Linked DNA regions of Oryzias latipes. The protein of the gene in region 1 purifies or fractionates together with the protein of each later gene. This does not show direct contact. Links are inferred from orthologs where the notes say so. Each region holds a gene or a part of one and is shown in the gene's direction. Other genes may lie near its edges. The genes, in order: ran, nup214 and ipo9.

What was found.
Region 2: the proteins of ran (region 1) and nup214 purify together in Homo sapiens (affinity purification with mass spectrometry; 3 studies listed by BioGRID and IntAct, counting the BioPlex papers as one, with this or other methods). This does not show direct contact. The link is inferred for Oryzias latipes from reciprocal best matches to the Homo sapiens genes RAN and NUP214.
Region 3: the proteins of ran (region 1) and ipo9 purify together in Homo sapiens (affinity purification with mass spectrometry; 3 studies listed by BioGRID and IntAct, with this or other methods). This does not show direct contact. The link is inferred for Oryzias latipes from reciprocal best matches to the Homo sapiens genes RAN and IPO9.

What each region holds. Positions count from the first base shown.
Region 1 is NC_019868.2:13,953,634-13,958,271, reverse strand, and holds ran (GTP-binding nuclear protein Ran), read left to right. Parts: upstream 1-1,761; 5' UTR 1,762-1,852; exon of another isoform or gene 1,853-1,942; intron 1,943-2,109; exon of another isoform or gene 2,110-2,496; intron 2,497-2,693; 5' UTR 2,694-2,706; coding exon 2,707-2,751; intron 2,752-2,830; coding exon 2,831-2,915; intron 2,916-3,289; coding exon 3,290-3,415; intron 3,416-3,498; coding exon 3,499-3,686; intron 3,687-3,787; coding exon 3,788-3,958; intron 3,959-4,103; coding exon 4,104-4,148; 3' UTR 4,149-4,493; downstream 4,494-4,638. UniProt on the Homo sapiens protein: GTPase involved in nucleocytoplasmic transport, participating both to the import and the export from the nucleus of proteins and RNAs. Switches between a cytoplasmic GDP- and a nuclear GTP-bound state by nucleotide exchange and GTP hydrolysis.
Region 2 is NC_019870.2:10,676,174-10,680,711, reverse strand, and holds the end of nup214 (nuclear pore complex protein Nup214), read left to right. Parts: intron 1-1,339; coding exon 1,340-1,485; intron 1,486-1,712; coding exon 1,713-1,746; intron 1,747-2,302; coding exon of another isoform or gene 2,303-2,336; exon of another isoform or gene 2,337-2,338; intron 2,339-3,693; coding exon 3,694-3,730; 3' UTR 3,731-4,159; downstream 4,160-4,538. UniProt on the Homo sapiens protein: Part of the nuclear pore complex. Has a critical role in nucleocytoplasmic transport.
Region 3 is NC_019863.2:11,417,296-11,421,833, forward strand, and holds part of ipo9 (importin-9), read left to right. Parts: intron 1-229; coding exon 230-288; intron 289-367; coding exon 368-519; intron 520-600; coding exon 601-699; intron 700-816; coding exon 817-923; intron 924-1,007; coding exon 1,008-1,147; intron 1,148-2,145; coding exon 2,146-2,308; intron 2,309-2,475; coding exon 2,476-2,702; intron 2,703-2,782; coding exon 2,783-2,931; intron 2,932-3,232; coding exon 3,233-3,361; intron 3,362-4,538. UniProt on the Homo sapiens protein: Nuclear transport receptor that mediates nuclear import of proteins, such as histones, proteasome and actin. Serves as receptor for nuclear localization signals (NLS) in cargo substrates.

The sequences.
Region 1 (4,638 bases):
TGGAGAAGAGCGTTGCATTGCCTGTAAACTGTGTGAAGCCATCTGCCCTGCTCAGGTGAGCGCAAATTAACAGTGTTTTACATTTTTATTGTAAATAAAATGATGCACATGTCAACAAATGAGAAATAGACATATGGCAGACAGGAAGATAAATGACAAGAATAAAAGCATCGTCTTTCAAAATGCAAGGATGTAATAAGTAAAAATAAACCTAAAAAAAAAACTAAAAGGAACTGGTCTGCATTTATCGAATGCTTTTGAATTTGTGTTTTACTTGTATTTTAATTCAGTGTGATACATTCTGTCTTGTGTAGTTCTTCTATTCTATTCTGTCCTGTTCTATTCTATCCTATTCTATTCTATTGTTCAAATGAATGACATGCTACATAAGAAAAGCTTTTTTTTGGCAGGTTATACAAATAAATAGTGCAGGTAACTGTCTAATGAGCATTTGGAGCAAGCAACAGCGAAAGCTCTGGCCCCCCAGAGCTTACACTTTGACCTTGGTTCATCCCAGAGCAGCTGATCAGCTGATCTGACTGAAGTGGAAGTTAAGGAAAGGAAATAAAATATCTACAAATACTACAAAATTTACAGGCTGGTGGTGGAGAAATGCCAAAGTTGATGTTAAGTAATATTTTCAGGTCTTTCAATTTTGCTTATGACATACTATATTTTTCTGTAGCATTTTTTTTAACGTTTGACTAACACTCAGTATGCACACGACATGCTGGGCTCTTACAGCCCTTTATCCTTTGAAGTAAAGATTTCTTATACCAAGAACTGCTTGTCTGGTCTGATCTTTTGTTTCCTCATGTCTAAGGCCATTACTATTGAGGCTGAGACTCGAGCTGATGGCAGCAGGAGAACTACTCGCTATGACATTGACATGACAAAGTGAATCTACTGTGGTTTCTGCCAGGAAGCTTGTCCTGTTGATGCTTTTGTTGAGGTAGGAAAAAGTATTGTATTTTTTATCGCGATTTTCTTTTGTTTGGCGATCAGAGTGGTTTTTCACGTTTGAATGTCTGGTATTTCTTTTTACATTTGTCCTTTTCTCTTTAAATTTCTCTAAGGGTCCAAACTTTGAGTTTTCCACAGAAAGCCACGAGGAACTACTGTACAACAAAGAGAAGCTGCTCAACAATGGGGACCGATGGGAATCAGAGATAGCAGCCAACATACAAGCAGACTACTTGTACAGATAAACCTTTTGCATCTGCAGTCTTTACTAGGCTTTACTGCATTAAAAGCATTTACTTTACTATTATATGAGCCACAAAGCCTTTAGGTCTGCTGCTTTCCTGTCAGAATTTAAAATCGTAAAAACGCACAAATTATATTATATATTGTACAGATGAGTAGTGTTAAACTTATAAGTGTTAAATTTGCACATTTTTATACAAAATGAGGCTAATACAAAGTCTGGAAACACTTTGATCTGACTGTGTAGTTTGAAAAATGTGAAATACTCTTATTTAGGACTAGTTATGACACTAAAATAAAGCACATTGGAAAATGTTGTGCTCATTTGTTTGTTGCATTGCATCATTGTCTTAAAATAAAAATATAAGGACGCATTCATGAGAATATAAAGAACTAATAGCAGACTTTTATATATTTAATATTTATATATTATATTATTGCTATATTTATACATTACATTATATACATATATAAATATACTAAACTATATATTTTTTAAACTGTATTTAGAACCCAAACTCAAAAAGGTAATTCTTTTCAAACCGTTTAGTGAGTCACGTGACCAGGGCGGAAACTGACTCATAGTCCACGCTGAATCTCCCGCGAACGCGGCCATTTAGTCTTTCCTCTCGCTGCAGTTACACCGGTGAGTCTGTGATCACTTGCTGCCGCAGGCCATTCCATATTTTCAACTTTGTACCCGTTTAAAGGGTTTAATAGAGAAAAATACGTTGAGGTAGGATTAGGATTCACGCGTTTGTGTAGGCCATGTGATGTGTGTACTCAGAGAAACCAATCAAGCTATTCGTGTTTCTTTTTTGTATTTCTGTGTGCCAACTGCTAGCTAAGCTAAGCTAGCAGTTGGCCCCGTTGAAAAGAATACCCACGGTGCTAAGCTAACGCTCGCGTTTGCTAGCAGTTATTAAGGGGACTTCTGTGTGCTTTTTCATAATCGTCTGATTGTATCCTTATATTAGATTTTAAAAATACCGTAAATGACTTGCACGTGAAAAACGTGCTTAGGTCGGATTCGAACCGGTTTACAGAGGGGAACACGTTTGTGGCGTATCGAGACCAATTGTTCTAGCCGAACAAGAAAAAGTGCGCTCTCGCGTCATATGGCGCACTACGTTAGTGCTTGTTAGCATTCGAGCTAGTTGGTAACCATCGATTTTAACGTTGTGCCTTAGGGCAGGTTTGTTTTTATTTAATGATGCCGTATTCTTTTGACCCGTTTTCGTTAATTATGTTTTCGACTAAAAAGAGGAACGCATTGCTACACACTTGCTGGTGTGTATAGAACATGCTAGAAGTTATAGGCGGGTAACGGCCCGGTTCTTCTTAAACTTACAGACCGTAAATTCCACAAATAATTACGGTTGTAGCTCTTCGTTTAGTCATATTTAATTTCCTCTAATGTGACCAATGCTAACCCGAGCAGACCGCTAGCATGCTAACAAATTCATCCCGCCTTTCTTTTTACTTAGAAAAGTCGCAGCCATGGCTGATTCAATGGGGCAGTCTGTACCAGTTGCAGTTTTCAAGGTAAGTTATGTCATAGCAATTGATATGTTTATTTGTTGCCCAGTGTTCGTAAATGCTAAATGCAGTGTCTCCTCAACAGTTGGTGCTGGTTGGAGATGGAGGCACAGGAAAAACGACTTTTGTGAAGAGACACATTACAGGAGAGTTTGAGAAGAAGTATGTAGGTGAGTATATTCCACTGTAATTACAGATAAACAATATTTTCATCTTTTTAGATATTGCTGTACAAACCGAAACAGTTGGAAGTTCCCAATACTATTTTTGAGTTAGAATGTGCTGGAACATCATTCAAATCTTTGATTGTATATAATAGCCAATATTTTACTTGGGGTGTCGCGTTTAGTGACACGGAGGTTTAAAAATAGTCAAAAAGCTCAAAGTTTGCATTTGAAAGTATTAATGTAAATATTTTCTGTTTAGCAATATGTGGTATTGCAGATAAACCCATGAGCCACGCTTAAAAGCAATATGGTTTTGTCTTGATTTTAAAATATTTTGTGCTTTCGATGACACCTCTACGCGTCTTCTTCTATTACAGCTACTCTCGGAGTCGAAGTGCACCCACTGATGTTCCACACCAACAGAGGACCCATCAAGTACAATGTCTGGGACACAGCTGGTCAGGAGAAATTTGGGGGCCTGAGAGATGGCTACTATATTCAAGGTGCTCCTTTTATTTTCAGAGAGGTTGTCTTGTGCGTGTGACCTCTGAATATTAAAGTTGATACTTATCTGTCCCATCAACAGCTCAGTGTGCTATCATCATGTTTGATGTCACATCTCGGGTCACCTACAAAAACGTACCCAACTGGCACCGTGACTTGGTCCGTGTCTGTGAGAACATTCCCATTGTCCTTTGCGGCAACAAGGTAGACATCAAAGACAGAAAAGTCAAAGCCAAGAGCATCGTGTTTCACCGCAAGAAGAACTTGCAGGTAAAATTGCTTCTTTTCTTTTTTTTTTTAATTATTCAGTGTCTCTGTGTTGAATTTACACAAACTCATTTGTATTTGTCTTATTTAATTTCTTTTTCCAGTACTATGACATTTCTGCCAAGAGTAACTACAACTTTGAGAAGCCCTTCCTGTGGTTAGCAAGGAAGTTGATCGGTGATCCAAATCTGGAGTTTGTGGCAATGCCTGCCCTTGCTCCCCCAGAGGTCCTTATGGACCCCAACCTTGCCGCTAAATACGAGGAAGAACTTCAGGTGAGTAGTACACGGTTTTTCTTTCATATTGCACATTAATCATCATGTGCATTCATTAAAAAAACAATAAATGTCACAAAGGAACGATATACACGCTCTGCTTCTGTTTTCCTGTTGGGTGCTTAAACATTATTTTGTTTTCCAGGTTGCATCACAGACAGCACTCCCAGATGAAGAAGATGACCTCTAACCTGGGAACCGCTTTCCTTAACCCTTTCCTTTTACCCTTCTCTCTCTGACTGTGGACAGGAAGTTGTTTTGCCCCTTTACTGTAAAATCCCTTTTCAGATTTTTTTATTTTTGAATTTTTTTGTTTTAAAACTTACAAAGAAAAAAAAACTTTGTGCAAAAGTTGTCGTTCTAATTTCATTGTAGGACAAGCCCATCCCAGATTTGTTGTTGGCATGGCAACGTGCTACTTTTCATCAAGCACTCTCCACTGCATCTACCCAACTCACATAATGCTGTTGTACGGTGTACTGGGAGCACTAAGGGGAATAAACTTTGAATAAAAATATTGTCATTAAAACATTGACTTGACTTTGTTTTTGCTTAATATCTTTGTTTCCTAAATAGTACATGTAAATGTGAAATAATCTCAATGATAGTTGTTTATAAAAAACTTTCAACCTTAATTGCTCTTCAATCCTATTTTCCTTTAAAAGTATTAAGGCTTTTAG
Region 2 (4,538 bases), on another chromosome or scaffold:
GAACTATGTGTCATTCGGTTGTTTATGCAGCAGAGTGAGGAACAGCAGGTTTTGACTCACAGTGTGAAGCAACATGGAAATCCAAACATGTTTGTTTTCGCAAATAGAGCAAAGATGTCTACTTTATAAACTGGATTTCTTGTAAAAGCGTTCCCAGTGGTCCTTTTAATTGTAGCTATGCTATTTTAGGCAACATCCGAAAGCTGTGTTGTTTTCTAAGACATAGTTTCTGCAGAGTGACAGGAGTTTGTGAAAGTTCGCCTCTGAGTTGTAGGCGGGACTGTTCGTTGACTGTTAGACCATCATATTTTCTACGTCACCAATAAGTTCTTTTTCAGACTGCATTTTTATGTCTGCTCCTGATTCGCAACGATTTGAAAAAAGAAATACTCAGAAATGCAATGTTAGGCCTAATTTTCTTCATACATGTCCTCCATCATCAGAAGAAAACACCATTTCATCAAAGTGGTCCTTTAAGATGTCGCTTTTTTTTTATCTTACACCTTGAGTGTTTTTTCTCTTACTTAAACACCCTTTTATAGACCTAAGCCCTTTAAAACCAAAAAATATTTTACATTTTTTTATCATGTATTTCTTTTATATTTAAATCACAAAATGAGGAGATTATGATTCATTTGGTGCTTTTTTCTGACCTCACACAGTTTTAGTTTTTCTCCCTGAATTTTGCATTGAGTAGTATACTTGTTTACATGTTCTGTTAAAAATATAATCTCTCTTTTTTTTATTGAAATTAGTGTAACAGAAAAGTAGAATATCCAAAAAATGGTACAAAATCCCAGTAAGGTTATGTTTGAACATTTTAAAAGAATTACATTTACCTAGAAAATATAGTTTACAGCTCAAAACTCCCCTATACATTCAGGTTTATCTTGTTTGTTTGTGTTTCATCTTCCTTTTTCTTCAGCCTTTGCAAGTGTTTTCGCTGCAGTAAGCGTGACCACAAGCCTTAAAACTATGGATCTCTATGGGCGAGTAGATTATTCCCCCCAGATAATCTCACTCTGGGGTCATTCTGGCTGCAGATTAAACTGGCCAGCTCCCTCTGTTCTCCCCCAGTGTTTTGCTTATTCTCTTTCTCTCTCTCTTGGGGAGGGAGCGAGTCCTGTAGAAGAGATTAAATCCTGTTTAAATCCCTGTTTCTCAATCCCACATACAGATAAAGAAAGAAAGGGGGGAAAAGTGTCTATCTTGGCTCGCATTGGTCAAAACCCATCAAGGACCATTTTATTCTGTGTTTATGAATGTGTTCATTCAAATTGTCCCATAATCACCCATTTTCCAGTCAAACCTTCCATTTGACATTTGTTCCTGTTTTCAGTTTCTCCTCACCCCCCAGTGCCCCCTCCTTTGGGACTCTCGCCACTCAGACTGCGCCGTCATTCGGGAGCTTGGCCCAGCAGGGCCCTGGATTTGGAAGCCAGCCCAGCAGCTTCTCAGGCTTTGGCCAGCAGCCACAGACGGGAGGTGCGACTCCAACACTTGCATTCATTCCTCCGCTCCACTCGACTTGGGTTGTGTGGAGGGACTTCTGGGATAATTTGATGTTGTGTGCTCGCTTAGTAAAGCTCTGCAGCCTTCAGTTATTGATTTTGTGAACTCTTTGAAGCAAATCAGTGGGAAATAGGTTGTCCATGATGATTTATTTTTTCCTTCTATGATTTTAATAGTTGTATTTTTTTTTTGTATTGCAGGATTTTCAGGAAACGCATTTGGATCTCCAAATCCGTGAGTGTGTTTATTGATTTCTTTCACTTTATACTAATTAGCAGACATAAAAATGACTGAATGTCTGCTATAAGTTTGTTGAAACATATTTGAAAAGATCTTGTCCTACAGGCTGCTTAGTAATGTTAGATCTTTCCCCCTAAAGTAATTAGCTTAGCTCTCTAATCTTATCTTTTCCCTCCTCATCTCTCAGATCTGCTCTTCTCCTTCCTTTTTGTTCTTTTTTTCTTTCCTCCGTTCCTCTTCATCCGCTGTGGTGTCTCATTGCAGTTCACATCCCTCTGGCCTTCTTCTAGAAGAATGAACTTTAAATTGTGCAGGGGGCTGTGCAGATGAAGCGTTCAAGTGTTGTTAACAATCCATCACCATTTGTGCAGCTCATCATTATTACCGGCTGTTCTTTGCTATGTCAAAAACTGCCGTCTATTAATGTGTTTATATAAAAAATTTGAAATGTTACAAATTTTCATTCGCACATTAGAAATGTTACAAATTTATATTTAGTAACTATTATGCTTTGTGTAGTACTAACAAGTTGTTATAATTCTCATCATAGACCATTACAACAAAGTTGGATTAACAATCTCTAAAAGTAAGTCTGTTTTAAGAATTCAATAATTGAGTATTGGCCATCTCTGATTATTTGTTCTATTTCTAAAGTCCCACTCTGATCATCTATTGATCTCTTTAAATTATGATTATGCTATTAAACCACAAATTCAAAAACAGCGTTTTCTAGGACATACTTTCTGCAGAGCGATAAGAGTTTATTCGACATTAGTCTCTGAGTTGCAGTCGAGACCATCGATGTGGAGCAACCCCGCCACCCCTTCCCATCATCCATAACAGAGCTAGCGGTTACAACCCATCACTCCCCCAACCTAACATTACCAGTGCAACATAAATCCAATATTGGAGTTATCCAGCAGTACAGTTTTGAGCCAGATGCCAGATCAGGCGAGGAAAACAAAGACGTACATGGATCTAGTCGCCTACAAGTAAAGGCATCAGAATGGAGCGGAGCTGGGAGCTTGTAGCCCGCCTGTTATAGCTTCTATGTCACACCTACAACGGAATTTTTTCATCTGCTCCTGATCCACAGCGATTTAAATAAAGTCAAATACTCAGAAATGCAATTGTATGTTTTTATTTTCTTGATATATGACCTTCACCGTGAGAAAAAGGCCACAAGAATATGATAAAAACACCCAAAACACAATTTTTATCGGAGTGGGTCTTTAAAAAAGAAAAGAAAACTGAGATTTTGATAAACACGACTATTTCTGTTTGTTGTGCAGCAGCAGAGAGCACAAAGTTTTTTTTGTTGTTGTTGTCTTGCATGGAAAGTATGAAATGGTATGAAATGGCTCTAAATGTCATGAGCCAGCGCTCATCTGGCACGCCAAACTATAGTAAGAATAAATCAACAGAAAACCGATTGGATATGGCAGAGTGGAAGCTACGACACAAGTCATTGTTGTTGATAAAGGCAATTAGAAAGTCAAAGTAAATTTCTGTCAGACGATGGCATTCAGCCTCTCTGTTGTGTTCCCTCCCATCACCCCTGACAAAAAAACACACACATTCTGCACTAATCACACCTTCTTCAAATGCTTCACTTATCACATTTATTATCGAACAGCAGCAGCAGAGATTAGTTTTGACTGAACTAAAATATAAAGAAGGAGCTGCGAGAATGAACTGGGGGACAAAAATGAAATGCAGATGTCTTTTAGTTCTCTGTAAGCATGACCATGCTGCAATCTCATCTGTCTTTACAGAATAACCTGAATTATTCTGAATTTTTAGACCAAAAAATGATCCTAATAGCAGAAATGTTCAGAATCAGGTTTAGAAATGGTAAACAAGTAAAGATATAATTTAATATACCGCAGCAAGTCCTACTCGTTCTCAACATTTTTTTTGTTTTTTCCTTTCTTTTTCCAGACCGGGTGCTCCGTCGTTTGGCAGCTGGAGAAGCTGAGTTCCTCCAGGATCTCCTCAAACTTCACTAACAGCTTCCCCTTAAGTCGAGATGTCGGTGACTGAAGATAAAGGCTGGACAGTTGCATTATGGGTTGAAGATTCAAAATAACAGAAAAAGTCACATTCAGAGGAACTGAAAGCTCAGTTTATATCATCCATTCAAGGCTTTGTCATGCAATGTTTGTTTCGCCCCAAGACTTATAAAGTTTGATTCAAACTTTTTCACTGATTGCATCGGCTGATGGAAACTGAGCAGCTAAAGTCTTAACGGCTTCATCAGAGTGGTTTTCTTTACACACTTCACACATTCTTTGTAAAATGTAAAGAATGTGTTAAAGTTTGACTTTTAACAGATTTTGGCAGCAAGCTTCCCCTGGATGTATTTTTTTTACATTGAAATCCAGAAATAAATTGTAATTTTCAAACATTTTGGTGTTTTTGTATTCAGTTTCATACAATTTAAAAACAAATTTGAAACATAATATTAAAAATAAAAACTTGTCTGGTTATTTAAAACCGAGCCAAGATTGATCTGAGGGTAAAATAACTAGAATTAACATGAAAAGATATAAAAAAATAACGTTGAAATATTAACTGCTCTAGTAATTTTACTTGGTTATGACAGAAATAGTTTGTTTTTTTTAATCATTAATTAGTTGGAATCACTAGAAGAATGTTAATAGGAATTGCATAACGTCTTTAGTAAAAAAACAAATGATTTAACTTTGGATTTAAAAAAAAAGACTCAAATTTGAAACAATTTATGAATTAAACTAGTCTCATAAAGGTTATTAGTCTTTCTTTCA
Region 3 (4,538 bases), on another chromosome or scaffold:
GCAAAAGGCTTTTTTTTGGTCTGCTCCCAGTTTACCACGATTTGAATAAAGAAATATTCACAAATTTGGCTTTAATCCTAATTTTCTTTATATATGTCTTTCTTCCATCATGAGAAAAATGCTACAAAGACATATTAAGAATGCCAAAAACACTTTTTTTCATTGGAATGAGTCTTTATACTTAAAAAAAGTTACAACTAAAATGAGATTTTCCTTAGCGGTCGCTCACCTATGTTAGAACAGAAGTCAACTACACAGAGGAAGTGGATGACCCCATTGACTCAGATGGTGAGCAGAATCTTCAATGAAACGTTTGGGAACCAAAGTCTGTGTGGCCACAGCCGTCTTGGATGCTTGCTTTCTCCAGGTGAGGTCTTGGGCTTTGAGAATCTGGTCTTCAGCATCTTCGACTTTGTCCACACACTACTGGAGAAAAAAAAGTTTAAAAGCACGGTGAAGAAAGCGCTGCCCGAACTCATCTACTACATCATCTTATACATGCAGATCACAGAAGACCAGGTGAGTCAAATCTAGATCCGGCTTAAGGAATCTGTCAAACATCCTGGAATGTTTCATTTTGCTGGTTTGCTCTGTCTTTAGATCAAAGTGTGGACGGCAAATCCTCAGCAGTTTGTAGAAGATGAAGATGATGACAGCCTTTCTTATTCTGTCAGGATCTCCGCTCAGGACCTGCTGCTGGTGAGTTCTTCGGTTTGGACATTAGAAAGTACTTTGGTTTTGTTAAAACTATTTGGTTTTGTTAAAACTAAAGACTCCTGTCTTTCTGTGTAATGATGCTAACCATTTCAACTGCAGACTGTGGCTGCAGAGTTTCAGAATGAGAGTGCAGCAGCACTCGCCGCGGCTGCAACCAGACACCTGCAGGAGGCGGAGCAGGCCAAAAACACTGGCAATGAGCACTGGTGAGGACAGACTCTGACCTCCTGTTTTGACTCAAAGAAGAATTTGATAAATATCTCGTATATGCATGTTTGTCACAATACTAGGTGGAAGATTCACGAAGCGTGTATGTTGGCTCTGGGCTCTGTCAAGACCATCATAACGGAGAATGTAAAGAACGGCCGCGTCCAGTTTGACATGCACGGATTTCTGGCTGGTGTCATCTTGTCTGATCTGAACTTGCCGTGTAAGTTTGAGTCCTCTGGATTTTTCTGGCATGTTGTTGCACAAACCTGCAGGGACGTTTTTAGATCGTGACCCACGGCTGCTACATTAGCGGTTTGCAGTAGATGAGCAGATTTCAATGATCTCACAAGTCATTTTCACCACAACAGTGGGAGGCCTCATCCACGGTTAGAAAACAACTAAAGGTTGAAAAGTTATTTAAGAGCAAATCTGGGTTGTGTTCCCAAATGCCATCTATACTGTACTCTGCAGTAATGAGCTGCACTTTGCAGAGGTGAGATCACTGGTGGCCAACTATTTAACGAAAGGTCGGCCCAGGAGCTGATGCGTGGAGGGTTTTTGTAATCCACCTCATAAAAGGAAGAAATAACTATAATCTGGACAAAAACATGCTTTAATTTTGATTGAAAAATAATCAGTATATTTTCAAACAGAACATTTTGGAGTTTTTAATTTCAGAACTGAGGCTATCGTTCTTATTTTAGTACCATTTGCACCGATCGGTTGATGTTCCTCTGGAAGAAAAAAAAAGTAAATTTAAAGGAATTTTCCATTGGTGTGCTGTTGGAATTATGGAGAAAATGACTGTCAGACTTAAAAACACATGGACCAATTTTCCAACACCAGAATATTTTCTGCACCTGATAAAAGGTCAGTGTATTTGTAGTGCACCATCTAAAATGAAAATAAAATATTATTAAGGATTATCAATATAATTTATTCCAGTTTGGCGGGCCAGATTAAATAATTTAAGGGCAGCATATGGCCCCCGGGTCGGGGTTGGCCCACCTTGGTTTAGATTGAGAAGAAAACTGTAAAAAGGGCTGTTTTTCTCAGTTAAGTTTGAACAACGATTGAAATATTAAACGTAAATTGTGGTTGTTTTTAAGGTTAATTTTTAACATATTTTTTTTTTCCAAAAGTTTGACTTTTTTTTGCCTGAGCTCATTCATGAAATTTGTTAAAATACACAGATGTTGTTCCGTTTCGTGTTTGCAGCTGCATCCCCATTCCTCCTCGGCCGAGCTCTGTGGGCCGCCAGCCGCTTCACAGCCGCCATGACTCCTGAACTCATCCAGCAGTTCCTCCAGGCCACTGTCAGCGGCCTTCACGACAGTCAGCCTCCATCCGTCCGCATCTCCGCAGTCCGCGCCATATGGGGGTAGGCTGCTCATGGGGCTTTTTAAATGCATTATTTTTACTTCTTTAGACTGTATCACCCAAGTAAACTAGAAATGATATTTTAGCCTTAGAGTAAGAGCTATATTGTAGAAAGGATGGTCTCGATTTGATCATTCCAATAGCTAAGATGACCTGTTCCCCCCTCAGATACTGTGACCAGCTGAAGCTCTCAGAAAGCACACACATACTTCAGCCCTTCCTGCCCAGCATCCTGGAGGGTCTGGTCCAGCTGGCCGCCCAGTTCAGCTCAGAGGTGCTCACACTGGTCATGGAGACTCTGTGCATCGTCTGCACTGTGGACCCAGCCTTCACCACCAGTGCTGAGAACAAGATTTGCCCCCTCACCATTGCTATCTTCCTTAAATATAATAATGGTTTGTTTACCTTTCCGACATTTGAGTGCCTCATTTTTGATCCGCGCTTTCTCTGATGGTGTTCTATCTCTCCTCCTCAGACCCTGTGGTGGCTTCTTCAGCTCAGGACATTTTTAAAGAGCTGGCGCAGATTGAAGGCTGCCAGGGCCCCATGCAGATGCGGCTCATACCAACCCTGGTCAGCATCATGCAGGCTCCTCCTGACAAGATCCCCACTGGACTGTGCGCTGTAAGAAATGAGTTTCAAGTGTCACACACCCTTCCCTTGATCCACATTGTTTGTCAGATCCTGAGAAAGAAACATTTCTTTCTGTTATGTAGTATTATCTTTAGTTCCACAGACAGTTTCAAACCATCTCTCCATCATTTTAAGCAAATAACATTGTTAAATGGAGGGGAGCCCTCAAGGGCCACATAGAGGGTCTTGTCCATAAATCCATTCACTTGTTTTTTTATCTACATGGGGTGTCTGATTTTCAAAATAAAATCACTCAGAACTCATTCGTCTCTGTCTGTGCTCTTCTCTCCAGACCTCCATAGATATTTTGACTACAGTGGTTCGAAACACAAAACCGCCGCTGTCTGAGATGTTGGTGTGTCAGGCCTTTCCTGTGGTAGCGCAGTGCACTTTACGCACAGACGACAACACAATAATGCAGGTGAGACACACTTTAGACCCACTGAAATGAAAACCCTGTTTTTTTTTTTGTTCTCGTTACATTTCTCTCTCTTTAAATGTATTTATATGTAGCAAATTTGGATTAAAACTGTTAATTTTCTTGATTCAAAATGCTGTGAATCAAGAGCAGAGAGAAAAAAAAGCAGTTTGAAAAGGTTTGTAATTGTTAGGTACAAACTACACTCCGCAAGCTCTCTGCTCTGCTCCATTCTGATGCATTCACTTGCAGACAAATAGATCCATGTCCGTCTTTGTTTTCCTCATCTGAGCTGACATCTGATCTAAACTGTACAGCTGGATAGCTCCAATACTGTGCACCAATTTTGTTACAGCGGTAATGTTAGGTTGGGGTTGAGAAAAACGTAAACTAGCGGGAGAGATTGTAAAAGGAAGGGATAATGGGAAATTAGTGGAGGCTTACTTCTACACTAACAGTCCACAACTTCGAGGTGAATTTCGGATGATCTCCTGCCGCTCTACAGAAACTATGTCCTTGAAAATGGCTAAAATTGCTGTCCATTTGAAATAAACTGATGCTCAGTCTGTTTACCAAATAAGCCTCACTGTACAGGCATGTTTTTGATAAATAGAATTTTAGAACAGTTTGTTTTGATGACACAAACTTTCTTTTCTTTTTGATTGGAAGTTGTATCCAAAGAAATGAACAATCAGAGATGATTGACAGGGTTCCGTCAAATTCTCAGAGGAAGTGTGGCCTTACTGGGTGGGATCTAACAACTGTCAGGCTTGTTTGTCCTCGTTTTGTTACAATATGGTGACATTCACAAATATGAGAGATGTCAAGTTTCAATTTGAACCACACCTACCCGCTAATTCATATGCAGCACACCAGTTAACCCTAAGTTGTCTGGGGCCTTTTTAAATGTTTTTTTTTCGACTTTACAATTTGATCTGTTTATTTATCTCTTAAAACCATTTTCATGGCATTACTTGAATGCTGTTGTTTTTGTCCAAACCCAGCTTCTTTTTTTTACTGATGTTTTTTTATTATTTTACACAATTATTCCACAATTAACCTCAAACTGTACAAAATCATCAATTCTGATAACTGAATGTTTTTTTAACTGCAAAAATCCCCAAAATTGGTATAAAACTGTTTTTCTGTTTTATAATAAAGATCAAACATGTAGAGTCAA